Linked DNA regions of Arabidopsis thaliana. The protein of the gene in region 2 interacts with the protein of the main gene of each other region in a pairwise test. Each region holds a gene or a part of one and is shown on either strand. Other genes may lie near its edges.

Region 1 (3,758 bases), on a different chromosome or scaffold from region 2:
CTGAAAAAAAAAGAAATCAATTTTTTCAAAAAAAAAAACAATAAATATTGAAAACCCAACATTAGTAAATAATAGATAGAATATATTAAAATGAACACTAAATTTTGCATACTCTAATTGTGTTTGCTTCACGAGAAATATCGACGTCAGATCCCCTAAGGCGTTGCAACGAAGATCGGCATTCTTTATCACGACCTAACTTCGCCTGTCATATATAACAGTATATATGAAGAAGCACCAACAAATATTTACAAATGCTTGAACCAAGTTTCAAAATATTTACCGGCTTTTGATTGGTTATAATCATAGAAACCAATACTATATTTGCAAATATTTAAATAAATAAAAACTTACCAGCCATCTTGGAGATTCGGGGATGAAAAATAAACAAAAGACGTGGAACACACATGGCACCAATCCTGCAAACATACAAACATCATGTTAAATTGACCGGTTCGAATTACATTACATCTATCATTTAAAAAAATATATTTTAGATTACAATCTCTAAACAGAATCATACCGACTACTGTTAGTAGTCTCCATGGAATAAAATTGCCAATGATGAAGAAGAGTGAAATTCCGCAATTTTGCATCAACTGTTCACATTTTAACAAAAAAAAAAGCATGTTATATAACGAAAATTTAATACATGTGTTTTAAAAATAACAGTAAAGTAAATTAAATAGAAATTTACGTACCTGATTGGCGAACACAAACGATCCTCGGACATGTTTAGGTGCAATTTCGGCTATATACACCGGAATCTACATGAAACACAACTTTTTATCAGTAATTCTCTTATTTTAGTACAGAAATTTGTGTGATGAGAATGAATTTGGAAAAAGAGGAATTACCACGTAGCTAAATATACCAACGCCGATTCCAAGTAACAATCTTCCACAGTCCAGCCACATTGCATTCTTCAAAATATTAAAATAAAAATATTTTTTTAAGAAAACACAGAAATTAATAAAAGGATAATATAAATAAATTGTGACAAGTCAGCAAAAGGACAAACGACAAGTAGTTTAGACAAAAAACCTGAGCCAATGCTACACAAAGCCAGCCTGTGATACAGAAGAATTCGCAAAACAACATCGTCTGTTTCAGAAAAAGTGGGAAAAATGGTTAAAGTAAAAACCGGTTCGAGTCAAACCAAACCATGAGACAGCATTTGGGTTTGGTTCACAAAAATCATAAACCGAAACTTGTATTAATCTTCTTACCCGTTTTCTTCCCAAGACATCAGCGACTTTACCGCTGAATACTGCACCGATCAAGCCTCCTAATGTCAAGATCGACCCGAACATTGAGTACTGTAAAATCAATTAAATACGGTCAATATAGAAGTAATTACATGTTGAAGTAACTAAAGATTATTGATTACATACTTCTGCAACGGAGAGAGATAAATCTTTGGTAATCCCTGCTTGTGCACCCGATGAAAAACCAACCTACAAAACCGAGAAATTAAGCCGGTTCAGTAAATTCACCTTCAAATTCAGAGTCAAACCGAAACTCGGAAGATATTGAAAATCGGTTGGTATGAACCGAGATTGAATCAAGAAAAGAAGAAGACTCACGCCACAACCGGTACAGAAGGAGCCTGATACGGCAACAAAGGTGCTGAGGAAAACAGAGGCGGTAACACGACATTCACCATCGTCGTTTTGAGGTTTCTTGACCTCTCGCGGAGACTTCCTCGATAAACCGGATTCTAAGAAAGCGTCTTCGTTAGGGAACTTTCTCTCACGTATGCTTAAGCTCTTCCTGAGTAACCCTTTTTCCATGCTCTTTTGTCTCTCCATTCCAAAAAGTCTCCTCCTGCTTCTTTCTTCTCTTTTCTTTTTTCTTTTTCTTTTCTTGGGGTTTCTCTGTTTTGGAAAGCAGATATAAGAAAAGTGGGTAAAGAAGAGTTGTGAGGAACTTCGAAGTTTCTGAGCAGCTCGAACTTATGCAACTTGAGGATTGGATGTTTTTGTCAACTGGTCTCTGGACACTTTGATATTTTATAATTTACACGTCATATTTTTTTTGTTTTTTTGAACAAAATCATAAAAACTTTTCTAAATCTTGTTTTTCGCTCAATTTTTAATATTCAGTGGACTTGGTCGTGGTCTTGGACGCTTGGGCAAATCAAACTGTGTTCGCTTATTATTTTGTGTAGAAACACAAGTAGCATTTTATTAAATATTATTAGAGATTTAGAATAGGTCGTCCCGCGTATATATATATGATAAAACGGCTCAATAATCAAAACGTCTTTATTTTAATCTTAGGTTTGTCTTGTTTAGAAATTTAGATCCAGTCACCCATGCACAGTCAACTTGATTATGGATCTGATTTTTTATCATAGATAAATTAGATAGTAATCATCTTTGCTTTTACGTTTACGAATATATGTGTGTATAGTTGTTATCTTCAATTATTTTATTTAAAATTAAATATGACTATTTTCGAGCCAAATATAAATTGATATGTTTATTTATATATGTATTATATTAACTTGAAAGAAATAAAATTTATCGTCCTTATCAATTATTTGATGGTTTGAAAAGTCGCTCTTGGTCGACCACCCTTCGTTTTTCTGAATTGATATATTTGAATTTGACTATTCTCCATGCATGTGCATCCAAGGATCCACACCTATGAAGTTGATCCATTTATTAGTATCTAAATGAATATTAAAGTGATTAATATCCCGCCATATTTGACTATACGTATATATATCTAACCAGTAATTTATATTTGCAAAACTGTTCTATACATGGATTATCTGTTCTACTGGTCAGAAATGCAATAAACAGTAGAGTGAAGAAGTCGAACGGAAGGTTCATGGTATAGCGGCATGAAAGATTATACATGTCTTTTTCATCACTTGTCTGTAAAAGAGAAAAATGAGACCCACACCTTTTTGTCCTAGATTACTTTATTGCTACTAAGGGCAGAAACATTAATCTAAGAAAGTTAAGCAAATCATGAGATACCTAAATGTTTCTTCTGATTGATTTCCTGATGTAAGGATTTAATTACTGGATGAAATCTGAAGCATGGTTTGTACAGACTCAGTCCGTTTACATGCGGTTCCTTCTAGCTATTTCACTCATTTATATGAAGTCAAAACCTATTGCTTTTAGTGGTTATACTTTACATGTATCTTGTATGTGAAAAATAATAACTTTGATTATGTTATATTATTTTTCAAGATTTAACTAGGTCCATACAAAATTTTGAGAAACAAATACGAAAATTACAAAATGTCATCTGCCGTTTGCAAAATAGAAAAAAAAAAAAAAAAACTATTTTAAGAATATTAAAAGGCTCTTGAGTATTGAAAACATTGCCGGCCCAATAGAAATCAAGTCATTGAACAAAGTTTGTTTTGGACCTTTCTGTCACAACTCTGCAAGAATATAAAACAATTTCATATCCCAAAATCAAAGTTCGGGTTTGCCTCATTTTCTTACCAACGTCTAAAAAGATTTGGACTTCCCAGCCCCAACATTTATAGGCCCATCATTGAATACCTAATCAATGGTTTGTGTAAATAACTTTTTTTTTTTTTTTTTTGTCATCGTGTTAATAACTTAATATCCTTGATGTATCACTTACTCTAATTTATTTATTTTTCACTTACTCTAATTAAAATTTGTATAGTTCATATTGTAGACAATTACAAACAAAAATAATTATATTTACATTGAAAAACCCTCTTTTATGCTTCAGTCTTAGCTTCGTTTTTTTTAGTTTGATTT
Region 2 (3,758 bases):
CTCCGAGAAAGCCTTTTGAAGACTTGGACCATAGAGAGAGACCCCTACGTTCCCCAAATCTGTCCTATTTTTTGACAAGGTGCTCCCATTATCATACCATAAGCTCTTTGTGTTGGCTTTCTCCACAGCCTTAGCCAATGCAGTAATTGAATCATATGCCCATAATGCAAAAACGTTTAGATCATCTCTCATCGATGGATTCTCCTTCTCAAATGTTCTTTTCCATCTCAAACGGAAATCTCCGAGCTCTTTCGATTTGGGGACATGGCTCCTCACACCTAACACGCCCTCTATAGTATTTAAGCTACGACCATTGTTTATATGTCTCATCATATGCGTCATTCCATTGGTCATTAACCATACATACCCTTCCTCCATCATCCCGATATCCCTAGCTATCTGAAAAACCCGTAAAGCGAGACTTGATTCCATGTGGACAACAAATACTCTCGCTTGCCTCTCCATGAGCTTACGAAGTTCTTTCTGAATCTCATCATCGATAGCCTCCGGAGGGATCACACTTCTCTTGACTTCCACGTCTTGTAAAGCGTCAAACAAGAAAGGCATGAATCCTTCACCAAACTCGTTGTCCACATAAATTGCGACGACCCTTCTCCACCTAAAGAATTTGAAAATGGACGCAATGGCCCTGACCTGGGATGAGTCGTCGATAGTGGCTCTGACGAAGTAAGGGCTTTTGATGGATGTCAAAAGAGGGCTTGTTGCAGAGAATGTGATGGTCGGTACTTGAGTTTTGTTGGCCAGTTTGATCATAAAATCTGCTTGCATAGAGTTTATTGGTCCGATGATGGCGCTCACTTGCTCGGTTTTGATTAGGTCCAAGGCTGCTTGCACCACAAGCAACATAAAGAAAAGAAGAAAGGTTAAATATCCTCTGTTTTTGGATATAATATCTTCCATTTTCAATGGAAGAGTTACAACTTATAAGGCTAAGCCATGTTTGTCGAGTCCAAAAGAGCTCTAGTTGCAAAGTAATAAGACAATATTAATTTACATAAATAGTTAAAATTGTAGAGGTATCATAAGACATGTCACCAATAGTTTTCGACTATTCATCTAATATATTAAGACTCATGAGTTAAATATAATTAACGAGACTAATAGTAATCAGGATTTCTGCGACCATACAACCGTCACCATGAATTTCTAGAAGAGAAAAAAATTGGACTTCTCTATCAAGAGATTGCTCTTACCATAGACATTAGACCACATAAGAATACACTTGGTTTTTGAAGTATAGTCTAAAAGATAAATCGTCACCAAGACTCTTAGCATATACCCCCATATGATACTTTGATTTTTAATACTGATCTAAAATATTGGTCACATTCAATAAAATAGTAATTAGCTAAACCATGTCTATACGTAATATGTTTCATTCAACCGCAACTAATAAGTAATAAATCAAAATGACGGGAAGCTGAAGCAAGACATAGAGAAGTAACGAACCTGCAGCTGAAGCCTGAACAGTATCTTCCATGGAATCTCTAACGTGAAGCGTAAGTCTTGTGAGGTAATTTGGATGATCCGCGTAGAAATCGGACACGGCCATCTTTATAGAAGTGAGGCAGATCTTGGAAAATGTTGTATTGAGATCAAGAACTACTCCTACTTTGATTTCACTTGTTTGGTTTTGTCCTAAACCAACCCCCATCAACAAAAAACCGCAAACAAAGTAACTCAAAAAGGTGTTATTAGTTTTCATCATCATAATCGCCCCAAAACTGAGGAGACTTTATGTGATTCTTTAACTTACTTTTTTCCTGTTATATATATACAGTGGAAGGATCGGTTTGAAAGATACTTATAATCAATGAAAGACTTTGAAATACTATGCCAAAAATTGGTTTCTCAACGAAAGAGACATATCGATTTTTTTTTAAAAAAAAGTGTGTTGACTAGAAATTAATAAAACTGGTTTGAAAGAGTCAAATGAGGCTTTTGCAGATGAATTCTCTTTGAAAAGCAAACTACAAAATACCCATAACTTATTAAATAACCAAATCGTCTATTTTATAAAATATAAGGATCGCAATTCTTTCTTTTTTTTACTTTTAGTATTGTAATTGACATATTATAATATCATAATTGAAATAATTAAGAGTTAATTGTGCAAAATAAGATTCTTAACCCTTTTTGAGATCTATTTTTGAGGATAGCCTTTCTGAAGAAAAAAACTAATGTTTTATACATCCATCCCATGCTAATGCACGAGATAAATACTATTGTAAGCTTTTCTTATATAAAAAGAATATATACATTTTATCCAGATTTAATGGTAAATTTAAATATTATAATTTTTTAATAATTGTTTTGGCCAACTTTAAGAATTTTCAAATGTGTTTTGCAATAGGAATTACAATAATCGAAATAGGTTAGAGGTAATATTTGGAAATATATGTGTTTTAAAGAGAATAAGAATAAGCAAAAATGTGTTTGGGAAATGTAATAGGATTAAATTAAAAAAAATGGTTGAGAATAATTATATGCTTGCACACAAAAACACTAAAAATAGCTTATATATGTAGATATGTCCATACAATTAACGCAAAAAAATGCAATGAACCGTTTTTAAAGAATTCTTAGAAATAAAATGTATCAAAAATTGTCGTACTACTATAAAATAAATAAATGTTTTATAGAAGAGTGTATCTTGTAGATATGTGTACTTTGGTGGAATTAGCATACAGAAATTAAAAAATATAGGGTAAGTGAAGTGAGTTTCCCTCCAAGATTTTTAATTTTATTTTTTACGAGCAGTCGGAAATTAACGGAATTTTCTTAGTTTGGATTTATTCAGATTTAGTTTGTTCAACTATGCCATACACAATATGATTGTCCGTTGTAGAACAACATTCTCTTACGCATGTTCGAGAATAGGTCAAGAAGACGTATAATATGGGCAAATCGAAAACAAATATTCGTCAACATTATTTTTTCCAAAACAATGAAAATACATTAATCCTAAATTACAGTACATGATTTTGGATATAACTGAAGAATCTACATTTACGTGGGTGATGACGACATAAACAATTTTTTATGGTTGATATACAATAGTCTAATTTCTTAAAATTCTGTTGTGTTGAAGAATTGATTAAATTGAAATGCATTTGGTCCGATTTAAGTCATTAAAGGGTAACTGGAGGACGTTGAGTTGTTTAGCTTGGGTTATAAAGCTAAAAAAGTCTCCAATTCGAAGAGAGGGTTTCGCTAAAGGACAACCACTTCGTGAAAGGCAGTGATTGCTTTTACATAACTATGTGTACCTTTATCTTTCTTCCTCTGTTACGCTTCTTCTTGCTTGAGATTGTGATATTGTAGAGCTATGAGCATTTGCAAATAATGATATAGTAAATTATTGGATCTTTTGGCCGAGATGTAAGAATCACGCATGGTGGATGGATCATGAATGACCAGAGCCCTCTTTCACGACCCTGGTTGGGAATGGATGCGAATAGTTATCCTCGTTTATTTGGAACTAGGAACTTTCCTTAAAGTCACTTGCCACTATGTACATATGAAGTTTTTAGAGTTGCTATATTTTTGCAATGCAATCCTATTAATATAAACTTTGTTATAAATAAAAGAATAATAGCTTTGTTAGGAATATATGCAGCGAACTTAGCTTATCCTATCTATAACTTGTTATGGAATCTTCTAAACTTATCTCTATTGTTCAACAACACATTCAATATCAGATTCTTCATCTTCAAAATGTATAGTTTGCGTAGTTA

Evidence for each region. Proteins that work in one complex are often made in the same cells at the same time.
Region 1: the proteins of GLR2.9 (region 2) and ERD6 interact in a protein complementation assay, tested with the Arabidopsis thaliana proteins (one large-scale study listed by BioGRID).

Annotation. Positions count from the first base shown.
Region 1 is NC_003070.9:2,871,657-2,875,414, reverse strand, and holds the start of ERD6 (Major facilitator superfamily protein), read right to left. Parts: upstream 2,116-3,758; 5' UTR 1,812-2,115; coding exon 1,587-1,811; intron 1,458-1,586; coding exon 1,395-1,457; intron 1,320-1,394; coding exon 1,230-1,319; intron 1,105-1,229; coding exon 1,045-1,104; intron 924-1,044; coding exon 858-923; intron 768-857; coding exon 702-767; intron 600-701; coding exon 524-599; intron 420-523; coding exon 355-419; intron 206-354; coding exon 113-205; intron 1-112. UniProt on the Arabidopsis thaliana protein: Sugar transporter.
Region 2 is NC_003071.7:12,503,187-12,506,944, forward strand, and holds the start of GLR2.9 (glutamate receptor 2.9), read right to left. Parts: upstream 1,759-3,758; 5' UTR 1,733-1,758; coding exon 1,471-1,732; intron 846-1,470; coding exon 1-845. Other genes in the region: GLR2.8 (glutamate receptor 2.8), read right to left, coding at 3,694-3,758. UniProt on the Arabidopsis thaliana protein: Glutamate-gated receptor that probably acts as a non-selective cation channel. May be involved in light-signal transduction and calcium homeostasis via the regulation of calcium influx into cells.